4 linked regions of the Arabidopsis thaliana genome follow. The protein of the gene in region 4 interacts with the protein of the main gene of each other region in a pairwise test. Each region holds a gene or a part of one and is shown on either strand. Other genes may lie near its edges.

Region 1 (7,550 bases), on a different chromosome or scaffold from region 4:
CGAAAAGCTTTCTATAACTATATTTACTATCATATGAGTCAAAATCCAACACATGAAAACATCCTAAAAAGCCTTAAAACCCTAATCGATACACAACAACTTGATCTCTCAAATGAGAAGAAAAACTCCAAATCCACTACCACCTAACGACTTCCCAAGAATCATGTAAAGCTAAACTAAGAGTAGAAAGAGATACAACAAAAGAAAGAGCTGGTTTTACTATTCTTTTTACTACACAAGCAGTAATCTAAAGTCTAGTTCCTATTGTCTTGGAAGTAAATAGCAGGAAAAGCTCATCGACTCTTTCTTTCACACCTTTTCCAGATGGGTCAAGACTCTCTGCCGGCATTTCGCAGCAGCTCGATTTGCTGGTTATCTAGCTAGTGGAGTCCATTCTCTTTGAGAGCTGCGGGGATTGGGTTGGTAAAGAGGAAGGTACAGGAGCAGAACCATTGGCCTTGAGAGACGGAGTGGCTTCTCCAGTAACGCTGACTCTTGATGGTCCCAAGTCTTTTGAGATTAAGGGATCATCATGGACCTCTTTTTGCAGCATTTCCATTCGCCTTAAGGACGGCACTTCACCTTTGCAGTACTTTTTCCACATATTCCGATATGCGGATTCAAGACCAACAGCAAAGGAAGGACCATTACAAACAGGAGATCCAGCCATTAGATCCCGGAGACTCATTCTCAATTTAGAAAGAGCTGTGACATCAGAGGCTAGATCAACAGATAGCTGAACATACTCATCCTCATTTTTGGCAACCAGGTGTCCTAATCCTGAATCAAGAAATGGCTGAATTAGCTAAAAGATGTCCGACTAACAACAATTTTTGCAAAAAAAAAAAAAAAAATTTTGCTAAGAGCTTACCAACTTTAGTGAGAAGACTGACACCAACATTATGAGCATGTACTGAGCCAGCCATTGTAACACATGGAACTCCCATGTAGAGAGACTCACAGGTAGTGGTAGTTCCAGCATAAGGGAATGTGTCCAAACTGCAATAAATGTAAATTAAATATGTGAATCTATAAGCCTCGGTGTTTTACAGAGCACTATGTGTCAAATCTTACCTAATATCCATCAAGGAATAGGCTTGCATATGGTCGTGATTGAAAAGAATCAAAGGCAAGAGATCAACACGCTTTGATTCTAACCCAAGCTGCTCCAGCGTGGTGAGAAACCTCTGCCTAATGCTATCGCAGCAGAAAGGTTTGCATTTTACCACTAGACGAGAATTGGGAACTGCACACAGTATCCTAGCCCACACTTGCAGCACCTTAGGAGTTATCTGATTTGCACAAACAGAGATAAACCTGTCAAAACATTGAAAGAGATACTAGGGGAGATTGGTGTGCATAATCCAAGGACACAAATTTTTTAACCTTTGCGAGGTTGTTGAAACTACCAAATGTGACAAAGCCATTAGAAAGCGCAGGTGTTGGACAAACAGGACCAGCCTCTGGGGAAGGTGTATAACAAAGAAAACAGTCCGGAAGCCTAACCAGCTCCTCGACCTGCCTGCAATCAAATATCACAAAATAAATAAATAAAAATTAAGATTTTTATTTGGAGCACTTCCGAAACCCAAAATTGCATCTTGAACCAAAACGTACTTTTGTTTGGTATCTGGTGGATCAGCCAACGAATCTGTAATTCTGTAATCAACAGTGGGCAAACCCGTAGTATTTGGATAGCCGATCCAAGTAACCTGGTATCTTAGCCAATATAAGTACACTTGAAATGGAAAGTCAAAGGCAAAACCCGAAACAACAAAATGAGATAGGTTTAATATATCCTCTCACCTGAACCGGTGCTGGTCTGCAGGCCATTGTTCCCAACTTGTTGTTTGCCGTATGACCAGTGAGTTCTACCAAAATGTCGATTTTGTCCTCTCTGACCATACTTGCTATCTTTTTCTCATCTATCCCGTATATATCCTTCCAAACTCCACCTTTCTTCAACACTTTATCCCTAAACCTGTATGTTTTTGCATCTGCCTGCAAAGCCATGAGAGACCAATGATTGCTCAAAAGGGAAAAATGCCACGAGAACCAGGAAATGAATTGCTTAGAGGGAAAATGTATCTATATAAGTTATATAGGTAAAAATCCTACCTTAACTACCGCTGAATAAACCACCACTTTGTACTTTGTATAATCATGATGCGTAAGGGGAGCTTCAATGAAATAAGATACTGAATGAGTGAAGAAATCTGGTGAGATATATCCAATGGTGATAGGTCGCTCTGGATCTTTCAGATTATCCCATGAAGTGTATTGAGGGTGTAATCTTGTGAAGCGCCAACCCCAGTCTCTGTGTTCAGAAGATTTTTTCACTGTAAGACCCATAAAAGCAACATAATACAAATCTACATTAATAATATATGTGCTTACCTGTGAGCCTCAAATAGTTTGTCATCGAGTCCTTCATTTATGTAATTCATGGCAAGCAATCGGTTCTACAAAAGGGGACAAGAAGGTTTTAAACACATATATCTTTCAACCTCATAACAAGAAGACCACGCTAAAGTATAGATACCTGGCCAGCATTGCGAGAATCTGGATCTATCTTAAGGCATTCCTCATAAGCATCGATAGCCATAGTTATATTTCCAGCATCTCTGTAAAGAACACCTACATTTGAATCGCACCATGAAACTGGTTATCACAGACACTACAAGACTCTTAGCGCCAGGGAGGTAGAAACAAAAGGACAAACATAAAATCTAAATTTCAAAGGAATATAGTTTCTAAGCAGTTGTAACACGTGAGGAAGCTCGTAAAGAACAGAAGATGAGAAAACAGACCTAGGTTGTTAAAAGCTTCTGCATATGTGGGATTAGCAAGTATAGCCTTCTCAATCATGCTGGCAGCAGCATCCATTTTCCCCTGTAATATCAGAGGAATTGGCATTCTATCGACTTAGGAGATTCAATTAAGAAAACATTAAGCCGCCCTTAATATATATCAAACCTGGACTGTATAGACGACACCAAGGTTATTAAGCGACTGTGCAAAATTTGGTTTGATTGATAGAGCCATCTACATAGGTTGGGAGATATAATAAGCCACCAAACACAATGAAATTCTCATGAAACGCTACAGATATCTGCAAAAATATTACCTGATAACACTCCACAGCTTTATCAAGGTTGTCACGGTCTTTGTAAAGTACTCCCAAATTGTTGCAAGCCTCAGCACAATGTGGATTAAAGTGGAAAGCAAGCTCATAGAAGACAATCGCCTGCACATTGAGAATGCAATCATGACCACAGACATATTTCATTCTTTGGCTCTACAATTCCATTATAATATAGAGATCTACATACAGAGTTTTGGATTAATTACGAGAACATGTGGAGAAGGATAAAAATCTAGGTAGATAAACTAGTCAAGATATATATCATTTTATCAAGCGAGTAAAGTGGCGAGGAAAGGATAAACACGCGATAACAACCACACCATTACTGACTTACAGAAATGAACAAATCACAAATTAAATACCATGTCGAACTTTAGCATTTCTCCATAAGCCACCCCAAGATTGTACATAGCATCTGCATAGTGCCAGTTATAATAGAGAGCCTTCTTGTAATATGCCACTCCTTGGGTTACATCGCCTTCAAGTTTAACCTGAAATATCATTGACATTTGACAAGTCAGATGTACTCACAGCTGAACAGCTTCTCGCCAATGGAAAAGAAGGATTAAGAAACTGCAAATCAAAATTATTCAGCGCAAAAGTTCACTAGTAAAGAACATAAACAGATTCCAATGCCATTGCCGTGACATAAGTACAAAGCACACACAGCACAAAGGGGAGCTAAACAAAACGAAGTTTTATAACGAATTTTCCAGAAGGCGCCCCTTACAAAAAGTATACTTGAGTTATAAATTGTGATAAAATTTAAGGATTCTTACCTTTGTTCCTAAATCTGTCAGAGCTATGGCCATATTGTTCTTCGCAATCTCAAAGTTTGGAGACACAGCTAGACATCTAAAGGCAGAAGAAGAAGAGAAAAAAATCAGCGCCTTACTTGCACGTTCAACAAAGTAGCAAGAAACCAGTCAACAGTTAGAGATGAATTAACAGATATGCTACCTCTCATAACAAGTGATTGCCATCTCCAAGTCACCACGGTTCTTATAAATGACACCCATGTTACAATATGCTTCAGCATACATAGGCCTCTCAAGTGCAGCCTTCTCGTAGCAGCTCAAGGCATTGTCATATTGCATCATTTCGGAGTATACAACACCTAAGTTGTAATATGCAGGCTGCATAAATATATTATAACATACTGAATTAGAGAATCAGTTAAATGGTACCAAGAGTGTGAAATGGTAGAGGAACAGAAAATTACAGCATAGTGTGGGTCAATCTTAAGGGCTTCGTAATACTTTTGAATTCCTTCCTGAGTATTCCCAGCCAGCTTCAGGCTAGTTCCAAGGTCGGTCAAAACAATGGCTAAACACTCTGCTGCTGGCTTGTATGATGCATCTGCCATCAATGCTTTCTGGTAGGACTGTGCAAAATATGATGATTAATCGTTAGAAACTGATTACCTAGCAAAAAACCTAATGCATAATTGCATATCACCAATTTAACAAGTTCAATGGTCTAACTAATGCAGCACCCTCTAATGCAAATCATCACAGATAGAAGGTAATGTAATGTTGCACCTCAGCAGCTTCTACGAGGCGTCCTTCTTCTTTATGAAGTATACCACAGTGTGTAAGGGCACAAGCATTATGCGGATCCAACCTGATCGCTTCAGAAAAACAATCGAAAGCTAGATTCCCTTTGTTCTGCGTCTGCAAGCATATCCCTTTTCCAATGTGAGCTTCAACATTCTTGCTATCTTTCTCCAGCATAGCCTCATAGAGAGCAAGCGCATCAGCAAACTTGTTTCTTGCCCGAAGAATATTGGCATAAGAAAGTGTATCGTTCCCCTGAGTGACCTTTCGTGATGGAGACAAAACACCTGCGCTAGAAGAAGAAGACCGAGACCCATTGGAAAAACCATTCTCTACGACTGGTGACCTCTCTCTCTCAGTATCATCTTCCAGTCCCACCATTTTTTTGTAACTAAAATCTTGTTCACCTTCAAAGAAACAATTATAAATATCAAATCAAAGGTGGAAGAAAAATAAACCTTGCATTGTTGACATAAATATGAAGCTTCAACGAAGCTAAAGATTTGATCTTTAACAGTATCAAACCCAACTCATCACATTCAATTCCAAAAAAAAAAAAAAAAACTAAGATTCACACAAATATGCAAAAAGATCAGACCTTTGGGATGTAAACCCTAGAAATTAAACTAAAAGAAACGATTAAGCAGAAGAATGCATATGTAATTGAGAGTAAACACGAACAGATTAAACAACAAGGTCCGATACTTAGGGTTTAACGATTACTTACCACAAAACCTGAAAAGAGGAACTTGACTCTGTAGCGACGAAACCTCTGGAGCCGCTAGAGAAGAAATCGAGTGGCTAAAGAAGAATGATATGTTTGAGTAGACATAAGAGAAGCTGATCTCCGCCTCGCTCCTCCGAAAACAGAAAGCGTTGATCAGTATACCTCAGACGCCAAGCCTAAGCGGTGGAGTCGTCGCTTGGCCGTGAATGGATGGAGCGGAGGTGGCGGCGACGGCGTAGCCTCTATTATAAGCTCGAGGACAAATGAAAGAGGTACGAGGTCGGTCCGAGCCAGTGGACAGAGGCAACGACTCAGATTAGCTCTCCTCGCTTTTCCTTTTTTTTTCTTTCCACAGCTCAGATTGTTATTTTATTTTATTAGAAACGGACAAAATAGATAACAGTAATCATTTTGCAAAAATAAAAAGGAACAAGGTAAATTAATTAGTCATTGTAATAAAGAAACAAAAATCTCCAGATATGCAAGAAAATATATGTTTTATGTTTTATTTCATACAAAATCATCTGAATTATGTCCAGCCATTTAGGAGATTTGATGTTTTTTTCATGGACTATGAAACTAGTCTAGAGTTATAAAACCCTCTTGTCTAAAAAAAAAAAAACGTTATAACTTCTCTAGTTCTATTGAAGCCAGATTGATTGATGAGTTATGTTATTATTGACATATCTATCATTTACTCAATACACTCACACGTAGAAAAAAGTTGACTTCGAAAATATTGGTTAAAAGAAACTACAAAATTTGTTTTACTCACAAAGTTGATAATGTCCAAAACATAATTTTTCACGATTGTTTTATTTGGACAAAATAAAAATCATTGTTCTACCGAAAAATAAATAAATAAATTCATTCTCATTGTCTTAATTTTTTTACGAAATTATGAAGTGGGAAATGGATCAAGTAAGTTTCACAAGTGGGAGTCCAATAGTTAGGATCATGTCGGCCTCGTCCACTTGCGTTCTCCTTGATTTAACGATCACTTGCTTGTCTCAGGTCTCAACTAGTGGTGACGTCAATTCATTTGGTATTCATTGGACTATACACTTTTTTTCATTGTCAAATAATTGGACTATGCTACTTAAATAATATACAGCTACTCAGAGAGACTTTTACTCCAAAACGAAAGAGCCCCTTTTAAACAACACCTTATTATTTGGAGCAAAACAAAAAACAACACCTTATTTAAGTAAGAAATTAGTAATGGTACATCACAATGGCATCATAATGAACAACTGATAAACACTTTTGAATCGTCACCAGCAGCAGCATGTCATAAACGCACCAACCATGATAGCATAGATCGTGAGGTGCGCAATACCATTACTTCTCGAAGACATAGAAAGCATTGGAAACAACTTATGCTACTTTGGATCCATTAATCTCTCCTGATTAACTACTCTTTATCTTAACCTTGTTTTTATTTCTTTTTGCCAAGGTTAATTTAATTTAGGTAATACGTCTCTTGTAATACCAAACATTTCATTTCTAATGATATTTACATTCTTAGCAAAAAAAAGAAAAAAAAAACAAACAATGATAGCATAGATAGTGTATTATGATGGAGATTTACGTACTCTAACTAAAATTATGGAAACGAATCAACTCAACTTATGGTTGCTTAATAGTTTAATAATACTTTTTCGTTGATGCAGTTTCAATCATAGTTGATTGCATTTAAATAACAAAAAATGAAAAGAAAAAAATATTTAGCATTTCACATATTTTGATGATTGGTATGAACTTTGGTTAAAAATTTCAGTTATAAAATCATTTTTATTACGTATGATTTAGGAATGAGTTTTATGTGGTCCTTGCAACCCAAATTTTGATCGTAATTTTTTTTTCATGTCATTTAGTTTGTGATATTTTAAAATCGACTACTAGCTGTATTATCAAAACCACAATCCTGGAAACCAATTATAACCAAAATAAACCAACCAAACCAAAAAGATGAAATCGATGAACGGTGAGAAAACCAATTTTGACCGGTCACTAATTTTCATTTTGCTCTCAAATCGCGACTCCTCTCTGGGCTCTCTCCTTCTGTATCTCTCTAAGGGGAACAACGAAATCATCACCTTCTCTTTTATCGTCACCGGCG
Region 2 (4,771 bases), on a different chromosome or scaffold from region 4:
TTGTTCAGTTTTATTATGTGTAATGAAGAAAGCGGCTTTTAGAAATAATAAGGAAATAACTGCAACCATGGCAGAGGAAAACCAGAGCTTTGGGAGAAGACGAAGAAGATGGGATCCATCTACATGCGAACAACTCTACACCTCTTGAATTTCTCACGTATTCCTGTCACCAATTCATACACATATTTGTTTATTCAAAGATCTAATCAATCATCTCAACACCTCTTGACATCTTCACTCTCCTGTTAAACTATTACTACTACATCTAAAATCTCTAAGCAGAGAGAGGGAGAGAGAGAGAGAACCTCGTGGTATTGGAATTCCGACGACTTCATGACCGGAGCTAGATCTTGAGAGAGAGACACTGAAGGTGACGAAGGGGTTTTGAGGACGGTCTCACCAATTTATAGAAACAAGAGTGTCACTGTTCTTTTTTTCAATTCACTTTTTTCCAAATTATGGAAAGCTCAGAAAATGTTTTCGGAATTTTATTTATTTGACGTCACACTGGGCGCGTGTGAATTAGTAGAGAGACCCATCCATTGGTCAGACATATCGACAAAAGAGGTATGTAACCTAAACCTACTCTCCTCATTAAGTCAATAAAACACATTAATACTAAATACATATAATCCTCAAAAGTCAACATAACAAATCCATAAGGAATGAGAAAACAACTCTACCCCAAGAGAAAAAAAAAGTACGAATGAAAGAAGAAGATCATTTCACGTACGTATGATCCCAACGTTTGGTAATACCGCTTCTAAACGCGCATTGCAAAACGCTAACCCTCTCTTGGATGATTGTTTCCTTTACACCCTCTATCACTTTCTCTTCTTCATCCATTATCGATTCCAAGTCGTCTAGAAACTTCAACTTGCTCTGCAGTTTCTTCAGCTGAGTACAACAAAGAGAAGCAAAACATGTCCGGTTCAAGACACAAACACAGTGGAACAGACACAAATGTTTTAATGTTGTTACAAGTTACAACCAACCTGTTGTTCTATTACTGTCGCAGCTAACTGTTCCATTTCTCTTTCTTCTTGATCAGCCAGTATTTTCGCTTGTGCAGCCGCAGCTCCTAGAGCTGTTGCCACAGACGCTCTTATCCTTAACGCTACAGGTAGACCCTGAGGCCCGTCTGCAAATATATAACGATTCCAAATCTTAAGCCTTGAGCTTTCATTATAAACCTAGGAATGCAGATTGAATCACAACACAATTTACCTTTCTCTTCTTGCTGTTCCTCCATATCTGTATCTTTCTCTCCATTGGCTCTGTGAGCAAAGTTTTGTATCTTGAGATTAGTGTAGGACATGAGAAGCCAAACCACAAGCAAATTGAGGGCTTAGAGAATCGAACCTATCAACTGTGAAATTGCTGTAGTCATCAGTGTCAAAAATCTCTTTTGGACATGAGGCTTCATCACAAAGAGCTGCAAGTGCAGCTTTTGCAGCAGCAGTTGCGACAGATGGACCAACTTTACTTGCCATGGCAGCGACCTGTTGTGCAATATGTAAACATGTTATCTCTTGAACATTCTTTTCCAGTGGAGTTAAAAAGGGCATTCTTTGCGACGGTTAAAGGTCAGAGAAGAACCCGAATGTTACACTCATATGGAAAATAATGAACACAAGGCATATAGTTTAACCAAACATTCACCTGTTTCATAAGTGAACTATCACCCTCTGATATCAGTGCAACACGTTTCCTTTTTGCTGGAGGCTCATCTTCATTCACGCGATCTTCTTTTTCTTCCCTTGTCTCTGTTTCCTCATGTTCCTGCCCATCAGTTTGCACCTGTTCCGTGTTTTCATCCTCGGTGAGGATAGAGGGATTGAGTCTTCCAGAAGCAGAACCCATCAGAAACTCTCCAAACGGGAGCTCAATGAGTTTAGAAATGCAATCTAGTCTACTCTTGGTAGAAACACTTTGTGAAATGAGTTCCCAATCATCTCCATGTTTCAGCACAGATTCTAGCAAGAGGAGGATCTCTTCCTCTGTCCACACAGCTGCAGCTGAATTCCCAATCAACTTAAAATCATCTGCAGTGTTGTTCTCCCCATAGTTTCCATTCTTGAAACACTTTTCGCATATGTTGACTATACCCTGCCAACATCATATGTCAAAAAAAAAAGAAGCATAAACAAAACAGACTAGAGAGTATGAAATATGCTAATCGAAAAAAAGCAAAAAAAAACTACCTTGTTATGTTGATAGAAAGGAGAATCGCAACGTTCTCCACAATGCGCACAAACCAATACATGATCCGGCTTCTTCAAATCACTGAAAACATCTGAATAAGAGGTAAGCGGTGGTACTTTGATGCCAGTCTCAACTCTTTCCTCAACAAGGGGCGGTGCGGTTATAGGCCTAAGAGAATTAGGGGTTGCAGTAACTCGAATTCCAGCAGGAGTCCCTTGTTCTATTTTAGCATTATCCACGGACAATAGATGGTCATTTTTCTTCAGGGAAGAGCTAAAATTGATCAATCCCCATTTTTCGAGGAAGAGAAAAACTTTCTGGAGCAAATTGACATCGCCAACAAGAAACTTGCGGACACTGGTGAAGGTGAGTCTCCGACAAGTGTCCTCTCTAAACTTATTGATAATGAAATCTCGGTACTCCTTGTAAACTTTGGGGGTTCTAGTGATTGAGCTCTCAGTGAAGAACTCCGCAAACTCGCGTCTTTCAATTTCGTGTATATCATCCCATAAGAACCAACCTTGTAAAGAACAAGACAAATCCCCAAATCAATTGCAAAGAAAACAAACCATAGAAAGCAGAAACCTAAGAGACGGAAACAGTTGAGCGAGTAAAAAGAGTAGAAGAAGAAACCCTAGAGATCTAAAAGCATGGCGAGGGTAAGAGAAGACATACTGGATTGAGCAGGAATGGTGTAGAGCTCGATCTCTGCGCTTGGATCAGTGGCTTCCATGCCCGTTACCGATTCCCTCCAATATCAAAAACCTCTGATGAATCTATTGCCAATCGCCAAATCCAAACCACACGGAGAATAATTAGTTAAGGGTCAAAAGCGAAAACTTGCCCGAAGCTGGGTCAATTATAATAAAACTCAATTTAAAATCTGGGCCCAATCTTTATTTTATCAGCCCACTTTGTTATCTAGTTATCAGCCCACTTGTTGTTAACTTTATTTCGTCAAGCCCACTTATTACTATTAACTTTTTGGTCTTCAGCTACAAATTTTAATGAACTTATATAACTCTAGTTGTTAGGGATATGGTTGCTCCAACATCGAACCATAAAGACCAAAAATTACGCACATCATTATGAGATGAACTGTAAAAGAATTTGAGAATTAAACTTATAACTCTTTCCAGAATGCAATAAGCATTTGGCTAAAATTTCACACTGTCAAGTTTTAAGTGGTTGAGAGACCAAAGAGGATCCAGCAGCTTGAATAACATTGAAACTGTCCCAAGAAATTGCAAAACATCCATAATAAAGGGTTCAACTAAAAAAGAGGTACTTCAAGAACCAGCTAAACAAAAAGCTCTATTAAGTTTTACGAATCCGAGCAAACCACAAACAAAAGAAGCTAGCCTCTTAATTCATCCTTTGGGCAGCCTCCTTTGCAATAACTCTTTCCTTTGCCTTGGTCTTTGCCTGAGACTTAGATCCCATTATGCCTCCTCCCCATTTCTTCCTGTACTCCTCGTACTTGTCATTGAAGTTGGCCTATAGACAAAAACCCAAAAACACAATCATAAGAATCTCCAACAATATGTTTCACACAATCTACCATTCTATTGGTCACAAGAAGTATTTACCTTGATAGCTTCCAGGATTTTGCTGAACTCTAGCTTGTCCTCGTTCTTGACAGTGGTCAAACACAAGCAAGAAGCAGTCTTCTGGTGAACAACCTGAAAGTCAGAGAAAGAAATAAAGATTAACTCTCCATGCTAGTGGCTATAAACTAGAGAGAAATCACCCACAACACATACCGCTCCAAGACGAGATTTGCCCTTGACAATGCAGTACGGGACTTCCATCTTCCTGCACAGAGCAGGCAACCAGACAACCAACTCAATTGGGTCGACATCATGAGCAATAACAACAAGTTGGGCCTTGTTCTGCTCAATGAGGTAGGTCACATGGTTGAGGCCGTATTTGACTACAATGGGCTTCTTAGACTCAGAAGGCTTTCCCTCAGCTTCAGCTTGGGCCTTCTTTACAAGACGCTCCTTCTTGGCAGCTTTGTCTTCTGGCCTGTACTTCAGAAGGACCTTGAAGAGGCTGGTAGCTGCAATTATCAATAACGAATATAAATAAGGCACCGAAGTCTTCTTATAAGGTTACAGCAACACAAGATTTACCAGAACTGGTAAATATTTCAATAATAAATTAACAGCAGCAAGTAGTAAATGTTTGAAGAGTAGATTGAGAATGAAATAGACATACCAAGATTCTTGTCAAGAGTCTTGGTGAATTGGTTAAGAGCTGGAGGGACCTTCAACCTCTGCTTCAGGATCCTCTTTTGCCTTTGAAGACGGATGGATTTGGGCCATTTGATGTAGCGAGAGAGATCCTTCTTAGGAGGTAAAGCTCCACCAATACCGAATTGCTTAGGCCTCCTCTCGAATAGAGGGTTTGAAACTTTCTCCTGGAGAAATCAGAAATCAAAACACAAAACTTCAGCAAGAAAGAAAAAAACAACAACAAAGAACAAATTGAATGTTCGAAAACCTAAAAAAGAAGAAGAGAATTGGAAATGAAACATACCGCGGTCTTCTTCTTAGCAGCTACC
Region 3 (4,212 bases), on a different chromosome or scaffold from region 4:
ATTCAAGTCCTGACTATGTAATCATTGCATAATGATGATTAAGATAGATCATATCATATTTTGATTAAAAAAATTACATAATGTTTTTTCTTAGCAACATTGTGATGCCTATATATATATATATAATGGTGATTGGTGAAATGCTTTGAATCTGGTCATACGATGGTAGAATAGCATATGGGTTTCGATGGACCTATTTGGTTTAAAGTTGAATTAGGGTTATGTTAATACTCTTTTTTTCTTTTTCTTTTTCTGAATCTGTTTTTCCTCCATCCTATTTTGAAAAGTATTATTGTTCTTTGCGTTTTTATTCACTTTCTCACATTCGTGATAACAATAAAAAATTCCATATATGTAAAACCTAAATCCTAACATATGAAATATGATTAACTAATCTAGATTATGGATTAGGATGAAAGTGCTAGCTAGTTATGAGATACCTATATTGTACAATTCATTTATTCGAGTGTATATATTCATAAATGAATAGAGAAAGACATTCAAGTAGAATTCATATAATTTCTTAAGGAAGCAAAAACTACCTTCAAAACTAAAACATATATAGAAATAACAACCATCCTCGCATTATGAATGTCTTTGTTCGAATCTAAATCCGAGACTATTAAAAAGTGTATACATACACGAAGAAGATACATAAACCAATCCAACAATACGCATATATATCAAAATATAGAAGAATACGTATACATATAACATTTTCAATGTATAGTGTAGATATATAAAATCATTCAAGAATCTGATTCATTATCGCTACTATGATGATCCGTATCATGATTCGAGCTCATCAAATGATGAAATGGTCTAATCAAACTCGTATTACCCGGCATCATGTGTTGCTGCGATGCGGTATTTGAATTCGAGCTAAAGAGCTGAAGATGACCGGCTCCATCGACGACATGATGATGATGAGAAGCTCCAAGAAACGAAGGGTATGTCGGGAATAGAGAGCTCATTGCCGGAGGAGTAGGACCGAAAAAAAGCTGAGATCCATCTCCGGCAGACGAGGAAGGAGGATGCAAATTGAGATTATTGTTATTATTAGCAGCAACATTAGATATTGCGACAGTAACGTTATTACCAGATTGGTCTAACGATTGTTGAAGATGTCCAAGGTTGTAATAAGCTGAAGTGTTGTTGTACGGATTGGTCAGAGGAAATTGTTGTTGATGATTGGTGTTAAACCCTTGATGATCTTGATTACTATTCTCGTCGTTTTTGATCCATTTTCCTTTATCAAGATCAAAACTTTCTCTTTGGGTCGTAGTTGTATCGGTTAATCTTGCTCTTGTTCTTGAAGAACCACCAAGATCCCAATTTTCCAAGAACCCGAGATTGGTTCCTGGAAACGTTGTTGATGTAGTTGAAGATGGAGATTCTCCAAACCCGGAGTTTCCGAAGATGAGATTTGGATACATCTGGTTAAATCCATGTGGGAATTGTAGAGGAGGTAGCTTGTCTACGTCATCTTTTGCTGCTTCGAGTAACCAATCAATGACTTTGCTTGGCTGACTCAGCCCTAATCGATCTTGAAGGTCGTAGAGTTGAATAGCTGTAGGTACGGACAACCTTATCCTCCGGTCTCGAAGACCACGGACTGTACATACTTTGCTGTGTCTGTCTTTGCCACCGAATGTTCTTGAGACTCGAACGATTCTTGGATTCCTAAAAGCTGAAGTCCATTGCCTTGAAGATGATACCGAACTCGGCTGTTGTTGTTGCAACATGTGGTTTAAGTTTACTTGATGATTTTGATTTTGATCTCTTTCTTGCTTTGCTTGAATCTCCTCTTCATCACATTCTCCTGATCTCATCTCTTTAATTCACTCAACAAGATCTTCAGTACTCAATTTGGTGTAAAGAACAGATCTGAAACAAGAAGGGAATAAATTGACCAATTTAATAGAAAATAAATCAAGAAGACAAGAATTAGTTGTTGTTAGCTTTCAATTGAATGAAATTGTTGATTTTAAATATGTTTTTGGAGCGAGATTCACATGAAAACAAAGCAATAATATCTCTTTCTTGAGTTTGCATCAAAGAAAAGAAAGCTCATAAGAATTTGAAATTCAAACATGTTGAAGGTTATATGTTCTTACGTTGATTGAATACTGGTAAGCTTGAGTCCTATTTCAAGATCCAGCTTGATAGAGAAGTAGAAGAAGGAGGAAGAAGAAGAATAAGAAAGAGATAAGGAGGCAGAGGAATGTGTAGTATTTCTTTTTTTGGAAACTAGAATTACATATGTATATTATAATGATTGGGGAAGTTAAATAATAAATGAATTAGATATATTTTTAAGTATTATATTCCGATCCCTAGGGCTTTTTTTTTTCGGTATGAAAGGAATTTATGCAGAAGGACAAAAGAGGAGCAATTTATGTAGTGTATTGATACTGTGATGGGAATGTGCATGTTTCGTTACACTCACAGTCACATAAATCTTATATATATAAAACTTTACAATAGTTGACAAAAAAAAAACCTTTACAATAAATTTTAATATATTTTAGTATTCAAGTTTTGGTTCCCTTTCCTTGGTGTTAGACATTCATTTTGAATTTTATATGATTTAATTTTTACCCAAGTTTGTGATCTATGTTGTCTTCTTATCTTAAACAAAAATATAAACATACGGTTAAGGTCATTTAAGAGAAAGTGTACGGTTGACAAATTAATAGTTATAAATGGTAACAAGAGCTTTTAAAGTGAAAAAAAAATATAGTACATGTATAGTAAATTAATAATGGTAAAAGTGGTTTGAACTTTGAACTGTGAAACATATATATATACAAGATCGAGTTTGAAAGTTTTATGAAACCAAATTTTAGTAAATTCAAAAAAATTCATAATATAAACAAATGGAAAGACCAATTTATTTACAGTCGTCGCTCATTTCATTTGAGTTTCTGTCGTTTTGGAAAATGAAAAGTTTTATTTGTAGATAAATTGTTGAATTTCATTATTAACGAAGCAACTTGTTGAAACCCTAAATTTAGTGATAATGAAATGTAGACTTGTTAAAATCAAACTGTTGGGAATACTGCTTTTATTTCTAATTAACTACTTGTGGGTTATATTTTTAAGCATATATAGAAAATATCCATATATATAAATTTTTTGTTTTAATATCAACATATATAAGTAAATATAATAGAGATTGACAGCTAGAGGAGGTAAGGGTCTGTCTCTGAGATAGAGAATGGACCAACGAGTATAGGTTTTTCTTTAAAGCATCTAATGCCTAAATACTCACAAAGAGATTTGTGGTCCACTTCTCTTCTAAGTGTCTTTGCCACTGAGATTTTTGCCCACAATCACAAACCATTTTCTTTCCTCTTTGTATCCAACTTGATCACTACTATATATAAAGTCTTCTGTAATTGACCGCGCCTTTAACCCACACTGGTTGTTTACGAAGAATATTGAGTTACTGCATATATAGTACTGTACGGTTTCAAATTAAGAACTCTGGTTTTGATTATGTAATCTTGAGATGAAATTGACTGTAACAAAGTTACATTTGTAATTTTGCAAGAAAAAGTTTTGTATCAGTTTTTTGGTCCTCACTTAAATATGGGGAAAATATTAAATAAATATGAACCACTTATATATCGTATAATTTTAATGATCATATAAATTGTGGTAACTGTTCATCTCAAATCAAAGGTTCCATGGATTTCTTTTTCCACATCGGTTCCGTAGATTATCCAACACAATTTTAAGGCATTTTAAGATGATCACAACACAATGTCACAGATTATTTTAAGAAGGCGATTGGAAGCCTTCATTAAAGGCATTTCCAAGGATCTTTCCGGATATGGTGGTATATTTTAAACACAAATTATTCTTAGAGCGAGATAGACTTGTACATTTCATTTTTTTGGTACTGTGATAGACATGTACTAACTTTTATATAGATGGTGTCAGTGGTATATTGGTCTAACTAATATATGCTGCAACAATATTAATTATGATGTATGTTCATAAAACTTGTGGTGAAATTTATCACAACAATTTTTTTGTCCCAACAAAGAAGCTTGCCAAACCTACCCGTCGTCTAAAGCAGCCCACTACCAAAGCCGCCTTTAGTCATTGCTTGGTTGGTAACGTCTGTCAAAGCCAAAACCTTAATTTCTTTCAAAATTGATTTAACGTAAATTCAAGCTTAAGGAATAAGCTAGAAACTATTAA
Region 4 (6,653 bases):
CGGTGTTTTTTTCCCAAGTCATTATTTGGGTTGAAAAAGAGTAAGAGCGGCGATTTAAAAAAGACCGGTCAGCAGGAACCATCATCAACAACATCGGAGTCTGACAATTTCTATGAATCGGGAACAACGCTTTCTCCGTCGGAAGAAGATTCTAGCCAGGGATCGCCGGTATCTTCGAGGTGGAGTTCGCCGAAATCGTCCTTCTCTTCTCGCCGTGGTTCGCCGCTAAAACGGACTGATTCGGATTTAAGCTCTTATGAGAAAAAAACCATGTTAATGATAGCTCGTTCCCGCCTTGGTTAAATGGTTAGGCTTAAAAAAAAAAAAACATCTTAGAGATTAATCAAATAAAAATGATTTTGAGTTTTTCATTGCGACAAGAACGAATATGTTACATGTAGATTTGTAATGAAATTGTCTATATATTATCGTCAAAATGAATCGAGTTAAAAGACCCCTAATGTTTGAAGAGTAGAGAAATGGTTGTGGGAAAGAGAGACATTAAGATTGGTGACTGTTTTAATTCACAATGATGATGATGATGGTTTGATACTACAAGACACTAACTTGGAACAAGACTACGGTCTCAAAGCCAAATAACTTATCTTTAAAAATAACAAGGTGAAATAAATATGGATACTGATAAGCTAAATAAGCTAGAGAAAGATGGATCTTAGTTTAAGCCTAAGCCGGACCCTGAGCCTGAACCTGTGGAAGACCTAACCATCGGGTGACTAAACGAAGGCTGGTTGATCGATGCTGCTCCAGCTGCTGCAGGGTTATTTAGTTGGTTGTTGCCAAACATGACGTTTGGTGAAGCTGTTGATCCTGCATTGGTCTGTATTGCATTGAGAGGTAATCTCGGGCCAAACGAGAAAGCTTGCTGTTGTTGTTGTTGTTGTTGTTGTTGTTGTTGTTGTTGTCGTGCCATGAAATGCATCTGTGCTTGAACTTGCGGGTTGTTGCTGAATCCTGGGATTATGCTTGGTTGAGAAGTTGCGGAAGCTTGTTGTTGCTGATGTTGCTGATGCATGAGAGAATTGATGTTGTTACCACCTGTGGATAGAGACATGCCTTGGAGATTATTAGTCTGTGGAGAGATTCCTCCAGGAGATCCAAATCTTGCTGAGAGCATACGAGCCCGTTCTGCAGAAAATCTCTGACGGGTTTTCTCTACTTGTTCGCATTCTTTCATCAACAGTGTTTCAATTTCTGCGAACTGCTTTAATTTCAGCTCCATCCTCTTCAGCTGCGGTTTTTACTCAGATCAGCAATAAACACTATACAACAAAATAAATCAACTACCTACAGTAATTCTCATCAGCAACTGGTTCTGCTATTTTACCTGGTGATTAACGATATTAGCAGAAAGTCTCTGGATTTCGCGTTCCTCATGATCAGCAAACAATTTTGCTTTTGTTGCTGCAGCTGATAGACCGGCTCTAAATGCTGCCATAACCTTATCCTGTGGCAGTGGAGTCTGCGCTTCTGCTCCGTTTTGGCTTGATGTTTTGTGTGCTCCTGAGTTTTTTTTACAATTAAAGCATGTTGGTGTCGCAGATTAGGTTAAAACAAAAGAGCAAAGAATCACTGTAAAGAGAACAATCAAATAACTTCCTTACCATCTTGCTGTTGATTTTCTCCATCAAGCAAGCTGGCTTCTTTCCCTTGCATTCCCTCAGATTTCATCCTAGATCAAGAAGTTTCAGAATAGTCCATAGTATTATTAAACTGAATCACACTACAGAGAATTTATATTGGATAGAGACTATATAATACACTAACCTATCGTCCTCAGATAAAACCGAGAGGGATTCATGGGCACAGGACGCAGCAACTCGAGGTCCAACAGCTGATGCCAAAAATGCAACCTAAAATATTTTGGTATCAGGATCCTCATATCTCCAAACTTATGTGCAATACAGGACCATTCTCCACTCAAAATATGCATACAATTGAGCTCTCAGATATAATCGATTCATGGATCAGAGATATCTCTAACTGGTGAGATCATAAGGATAATAAGAAGCGCATATGAAATCTGCATCGGAAAAAAGTTCACAAACCAATGCCATAACCGGATTCGGAGACTTCACAAATGGAAGCTTGATCTCAGTGTCAGAACCTTGCTCGGAATATCCTGCAGACGCAAGCGGACAATTAGTATGGCATGTCAAAGGAAATAACTATGGAAAGTAATTCATTGCTACAAATTGAATAAAACAAAATCACCAGGTAAATCCCCATTTGAATCTGTTCCTTTGTGGTCATATCCATTTGTAGGGTTTTCCGTATTAGTTACACCAGAAACCTCAACATTATCTAATAGACCATCCTCCACAGGTAATCGAAGAAAATGAAGAATGCATTGAGCTTTTGACTTGGAACCAACATGATCAGCAATTTGAACCCAATTTTCATTGTAGAGTTCCACAGCTTCAAGAAGCAAGAGAGTTTCCTGATCAGTCCAATTGTCTCCATCTTGATCGCCATAAAATTTCATTGGATCCACTCTTACAAAGTCAAGACAAGAATGTCCAACAACAAATCTTCCATGGTGAAAACAATCACAGCATAAGAGTATATCCCCCTGTAAAGTAGAGATGAAGATCCTTTAGTTAGAAGCGGTCCAGTATCCGAGACAGTAAGCAAGATAAAGCTTGGAGTCTATTACATCACTGGGTGCAAAAAAGAATCAGATAATGATACACAAAGAACAGTACGTAAGGGGAAGCAGCCTAAGAACCTTCTTTTGCGATTGGAAGTACACAGTTGGAAGCGGTCGAGAACAATGGTTGCAATGACTATCACATAGGTGTTCACGAATTCTGATGTCCAAGTCAGGGCTGTCACCATCCAAACTTGGCAAGGATGAATAGACTTCACCCCCCTTGTGTCTACAGTTGGGCTTGTCAAATTTGATCAAACTATCAATAGATGTTAAAGCAGCAGACGGCACATTGACCTCGCCATTTGTGTCCTCCCTCACATCCGATACATCTCTCAAAGGGCCAGGATGTGACTGGGCAGTGGCACAGTAATTGATTATTCCCCAGTGATCAAGAAAACGGAAAACTCGTGCAAAATCTTCAATGTCAACACCATCTACCAATCCTTGGCAATCAGAAATCGTCAGTGTCTTTTCAGGGTTCTCTACATATTTGGAAACAATGGCGTTCCTGAATTCCATATAACTTTCGGGTGTATGATTTGGCGATTTCCCAGAGAAAAACTGTGGCACCACTTGCCTTTCAAGTCGATCTACTGTGTTTGGTGCAAACCAATCTGCTCAAATGTAACAGCAAAAGTAGAAGAATAAATTCGAGCATTGGGAACAAAAATATCAGAAAATAAAAATAAAATAAGAGGAGAATCTCGATATATTTGAGCCATAGGACTCCAGGAACAAAACCCAAACGAATTAGAAGAACATCACTTGCATAGTCTATTCAAGTTGTACTTCTGAGATAAGACACCTAAGGCTACTTCAAGCCAGCAGGTACTCTAATTTATCATGTACAAAAGTTATAATACCTCTTCCTTTCCATCAGACAGAACATGGGAACATAGAGAAACATCTGATATGAAATTGAGTCGCGTTCAGATTAATGTAAACTAAGAACCAGGCACTAGACAAAAGGAAGATAAGAACTTATACGTTAAGGAGATACCGGCATACAAACCTGTTTTGACTAATTCTCATTCCAATCACAAGATATATACTACAATACTACCAACCAGCAAAAGCTGATGCTGCATAAAGCCTAACCTCTAACATAAATGCGCGTATCAAGAGGAAGAAAAAACACACCTGAATGCATAGGCAAGACATGAACCAGATCCCCAAACCGTTTAACAACTCCTTCTCCATCCATAATAGGTGGTGGAGAGATAACATAAGCCGAAGACGATCCATCACTCCTCTCAAGATCAAGAGAATCAGCAGGTACAGTAGATAACGCTTGCAATTGCCCAAACGAAATGTTCTCCAGAGCTGGAAGTGAACCTTGCCCTCTAGTCTCCCCTATCAAACCAGCTCTCTCAGCCGCCACAACAGCCATTACAGACGCGTGTGGCCGGATCACAACACGCTTAACCACTGCCGGGAAATCAGAGATGCGCGAACCAGAATCTTCAACTACCTCGCCAATACCAAGTCCCGGATCGGGAGTTGCGCCGCCGTTTTGCTGAAGCTCATCGGCATTTTCAACGTCATCCATTTCTTCGTTGTTGTTGTTGTTATTCTCTTCGTCTTCTTCCTCCATATCTTCCTCCTCTTGTTTCGGTTTCCTCGCCGCCGATAACCCCCCTCTCTTCTTCCTTTTCCATTTCCCTCTTCTATCTGCGACAGAATTGTAAAAAGTGTAATTCAATTCACACGAATTCTCGAAATACCCATCACTACGATCTATGTGGGTAAGTCAAATCCCAATTTAAATTTGGATTTTGAGAGAGATAAAGATGTGAAACAGCAATTTACCTTCAGAAGCTGGCATTTTTGTGGATGAAGATAGAGAAATAGAGGTTTTGGGTTCTGTGGAATCGAAGCAAGACCCTTAGTAAAAAGAATTGCTTTCTTTGTCTTCTCTCCTCCGAGTCGTTCTGATTTCCAGCTCTCGAGCTAAACACCAAACCTTTTTCTCGCAATTTCTTTCACCATTTCCTTCATTAATCTCTATATATTAATTCATTCTCCACGACGACCTAACCTTCTCGACAAACAAGAGGGTTCTGATTTCGAAATTCAAGCTTCGTTGACCAATCCAAATTTTGGTTTAACTTCGGTTAAAGTCAACTTTACTTCGGTTTTATTTTTCAATTTTGAATGAGAAAAACCGAATCAATTATTTAGTTCGGTTCTTAAAGTTCAAATTGGTTAAACCGGTTTAAATTGATACATTAGTCGACCGTCGCGCATTAATACTGGTGTGGTGGTTCCGTTAACGAGCAACGGCGATGAAGAGACCTCGACCTACATCTCAGCCGTCGATCTCTTCCACCGTCAAACCACCACTGTCTCCGCCGGTCACACCGATTCTCAAACAGAAGCTACACAGAACAGGAACACCTAAATGGTTCCCGTTAAAACTAACCCACACGGAGCTGACGTTGCCGTTAACTTTTCCGACGGGTCAAACATTCCGGTGGAAGAAAACTGGAGCGATTCAGTATAGCGGAACGATTGGGCCTCACTTAGTCTCTCTTAGACAACGTCCAGGAGACGACGCAGTTTCCTACTGCGTCCATTGTAGCACAAGCCCTAAATCCGCGGAGCTTGCGTTGCTCGATTTTCTCAATGCTGAGATCTCGTTAGCTGAGCTATGGTCTGATTTCTCGAAAAAAGATCCTCGTTTCGGAGAGCTAGCGAGACATCTCCGTGGCGCTCGTGTGTTGAGGCAGGATCCGCTCGAGTGCTTGATACAGTTTTTGTGCTCATCGAACAATAACATTGCGAGGATTACGAAGATGGTGGATTTTGTTTCGTCTTTAGGGTTACATTTGGGTGACATTGATGGATTTGAGTTTCATCAGTTCCCATCATTGGATCGATTATCTAGGGTTTCTGAGGAAGAGTTTAGAAAGGCTGGTTTTGGTTACAGGTGATTTCATCACTCTCTAATGGTTGCATTATGTTGAATTAGACATTTAGGCTAAAACTTTGCTTGAAGCTTATACTTTTATTTACTCTGTGGCTATACATTCATAGAATTGAAGCTAATGTTTGGTCTAAGCTAGATAATCATTGTGTGGCCGTTTCTCTGATTGGTTCTGATCTCATTTGAAAACTCTCATTCTGGTTTATCTTGTGGTGAGCAGAGCCAAATACATAACAGGTACAGTGAATGCTTTGCAAGCAAAGCCAGGTGGTGGTAATGAATGGCTTCTTTCTCTGCGCAAAGTCGAACTCCAAGAGGCAGTTGCTGCGCTGTGTACATTACCTGGTGTTGGTCCGAAGGTAGCAGCTTGCATAGCTCTGTTTTCTCTTGATCAGCATAGTGCTATTCCGGTTGACACACATGTCTGGCAGGTAACAAAGTCCATCGGTTTCTATGTATTGTACTTACTTAATTGAGATCCAATTACATAATGGTGATGATGACTTCGGGCAACTTTTTTTTTGTTCTGTTTTGGATAATGGATCAGATCGCAACAAATTATCTACTGCCAGACCTTGCTGGTGCAAAACTGACACCTAAACTCCATGGCCGAGTTGCAGAAGCCTTTGTGAGTAAATATGGTGAATATGCTGGTTGGGCTCAAACATTGCTTTTCATTGCCGAGTTACCTGCACAAAAAACTCTCTTGCAATCGTTTTCCCAGCCCATTAACAAACTGGATGAGTCTGCAGAAGTTAATGAAACTAGCTGTGATACGTTGAAGCCATGACTATGTGTCTACCTAAGCTACGAGGAATCGTTTTCACAACCCATTCTTGATGCGTCAAGTCCAGAAACTTGACCTTGGAAGAGCTAAGAAAATTCTGAAGCTGATGCAGTATTTGGCTCCCTGGCAAATGAGCGTAGTTATTTGTTATGATCATTGTTTACTAAGGAACCAATCTTGATATGTACTTGTAACTTTACATTCAAACTTCCAAATTAAATTCTAATTGTTTGTTCCCTTTGCAATTCTCTTGATTTGAAATGAGAATT

Evidence for each region.
Region 1: the proteins of SWI3C (region 4) and SPY interact in a protein complementation assay, tested with the Arabidopsis thaliana proteins (one study listed by BioGRID).
Region 2: the proteins of SWI3C (region 4) and SWI3A interact in a two-hybrid assay, tested with the Arabidopsis thaliana proteins (one study listed by BioGRID).
Region 3: the proteins of SWI3C (region 4) and TCP5 interact in a two-hybrid assay, tested with the Arabidopsis thaliana proteins (one study listed by BioGRID).

Annotation. Positions count from the first base shown.
Region 1 is NC_003074.8:3,630,374-3,637,923, reverse strand, and holds the start of SPY (Tetratricopeptide repeat (TPR)-like superfamily protein), read right to left. Parts: upstream 6,038-7,550; 5' UTR 5,429-6,037; intron 5,109-5,428; 5' UTR 5,083-5,108; coding exon 4,687-5,082; intron 4,530-4,686; coding exon 4,368-4,529; intron 4,282-4,367; coding exon 4,106-4,281; intron 4,001-4,105; coding exon 3,925-4,000; intron 3,637-3,924; coding exon 3,508-3,636; intron 3,248-3,507; coding exon 3,128-3,247; intron 3,046-3,127; coding exon 2,977-3,045; intron 2,893-2,976; coding exon 2,811-2,892; intron 2,638-2,810; coding exon 2,543-2,637; intron 2,463-2,542; coding exon 2,398-2,462; intron 2,318-2,397; coding exon 2,119-2,317; intron 2,002-2,118; coding exon 1,807-2,001; intron 1,713-1,806; coding exon 1,618-1,712; intron 1,523-1,617; coding exon 1,387-1,522; intron 1,293-1,386; coding exon 1,075-1,292; intron 1,000-1,074; coding exon 872-999; intron 781-871; coding exon 377-780; 3' UTR 1-376. UniProt on the Arabidopsis thaliana protein: Probable O-linked N-acetylglucosamine transferase (OGT) involved in various processes such as gibberellin (GA) signaling pathway and circadian clock.
Region 2 is NC_003071.7:19,530,201-19,534,971, reverse strand, and holds SWI3A (SWITCH/sucrose nonfermenting 3A), read right to left. Parts: upstream 3,026-4,771; 5' UTR 2,939-3,025; coding exon 2,881-2,938; intron 2,726-2,880; coding exon 2,205-2,725; intron 2,110-2,204; coding exon 1,663-2,109; intron 1,503-1,662; coding exon 1,363-1,502; coding exon of another isoform or gene 1,305-1,362; exon of another isoform or gene 1,278-1,304; coding exon 1,228-1,277; intron 1,142-1,227; coding exon 996-1,141; intron 898-995; coding exon 721-897; 3' UTR 501-720; downstream 1-500. Other genes in the region: AT2G47630 (alpha/beta-Hydrolases superfamily protein), read right to left, coding at 67-163, 306-335; AT2G47610 (Ribosomal protein L7Ae/L30e/S12e/Gadd45 family protein), read right to left, coding at 3,571-3,702, 3,795-3,887, 3,969-4,267, 4,426-4,627, 4,747-4,771. UniProt on the Arabidopsis thaliana protein: Component of a multiprotein complex equivalent of the SWI/SNF complex, an ATP-dependent chromatin-remodeling complex, which is required for the positive and negative regulation of gene expression of a large number of genes.
Region 3 is NC_003076.8:24,534,821-24,539,032, forward strand, and holds TCP5 (TEOSINTE BRANCHED 1, cycloidea and PCF transcription factor 5), read right to left. Parts: upstream 2,425-4,212; 5' UTR 2,118-2,424; intron 1,888-2,117; 5' UTR 1,833-1,887; coding exon 750-1,832; 3' UTR 517-749; downstream 1-516.
Region 4 is NC_003070.9:7,619,483-7,626,135, forward strand, and holds SWI3C (SWITCH/sucrose nonfermenting 3C), read right to left. Parts: upstream 4,685-6,653; 5' UTR 4,497-4,684; coding exon 4,481-4,496; intron 4,343-4,480; coding exon 3,812-4,342; intron 3,286-3,811; coding exon 2,747-3,285; intron 2,591-2,746; coding exon 2,233-2,590; intron 2,141-2,232; coding exon 2,067-2,140; intron 1,872-2,066; coding exon 1,786-1,871; intron 1,691-1,785; coding exon 1,623-1,690; intron 1,522-1,622; coding exon 1,346-1,521; intron 1,250-1,345; coding exon 674-1,249; 3' UTR 519-673; downstream 1-518. Other genes in the region: AT1G21695 (hydroxyproline-rich glycoprotein family protein), read left to right, coding at 1-303; OGG1 (8-oxoguanine-DNA glycosylase 1), read left to right, coding at 4,957-5,600, 5,818-6,028, 6,145-6,387. UniProt on the Arabidopsis thaliana protein: Component of a multiprotein complex equivalent of the SWI/SNF complex, an ATP-dependent chromatin-remodeling complex, which is required for the positive and negative regulation of gene expression of a large number of genes.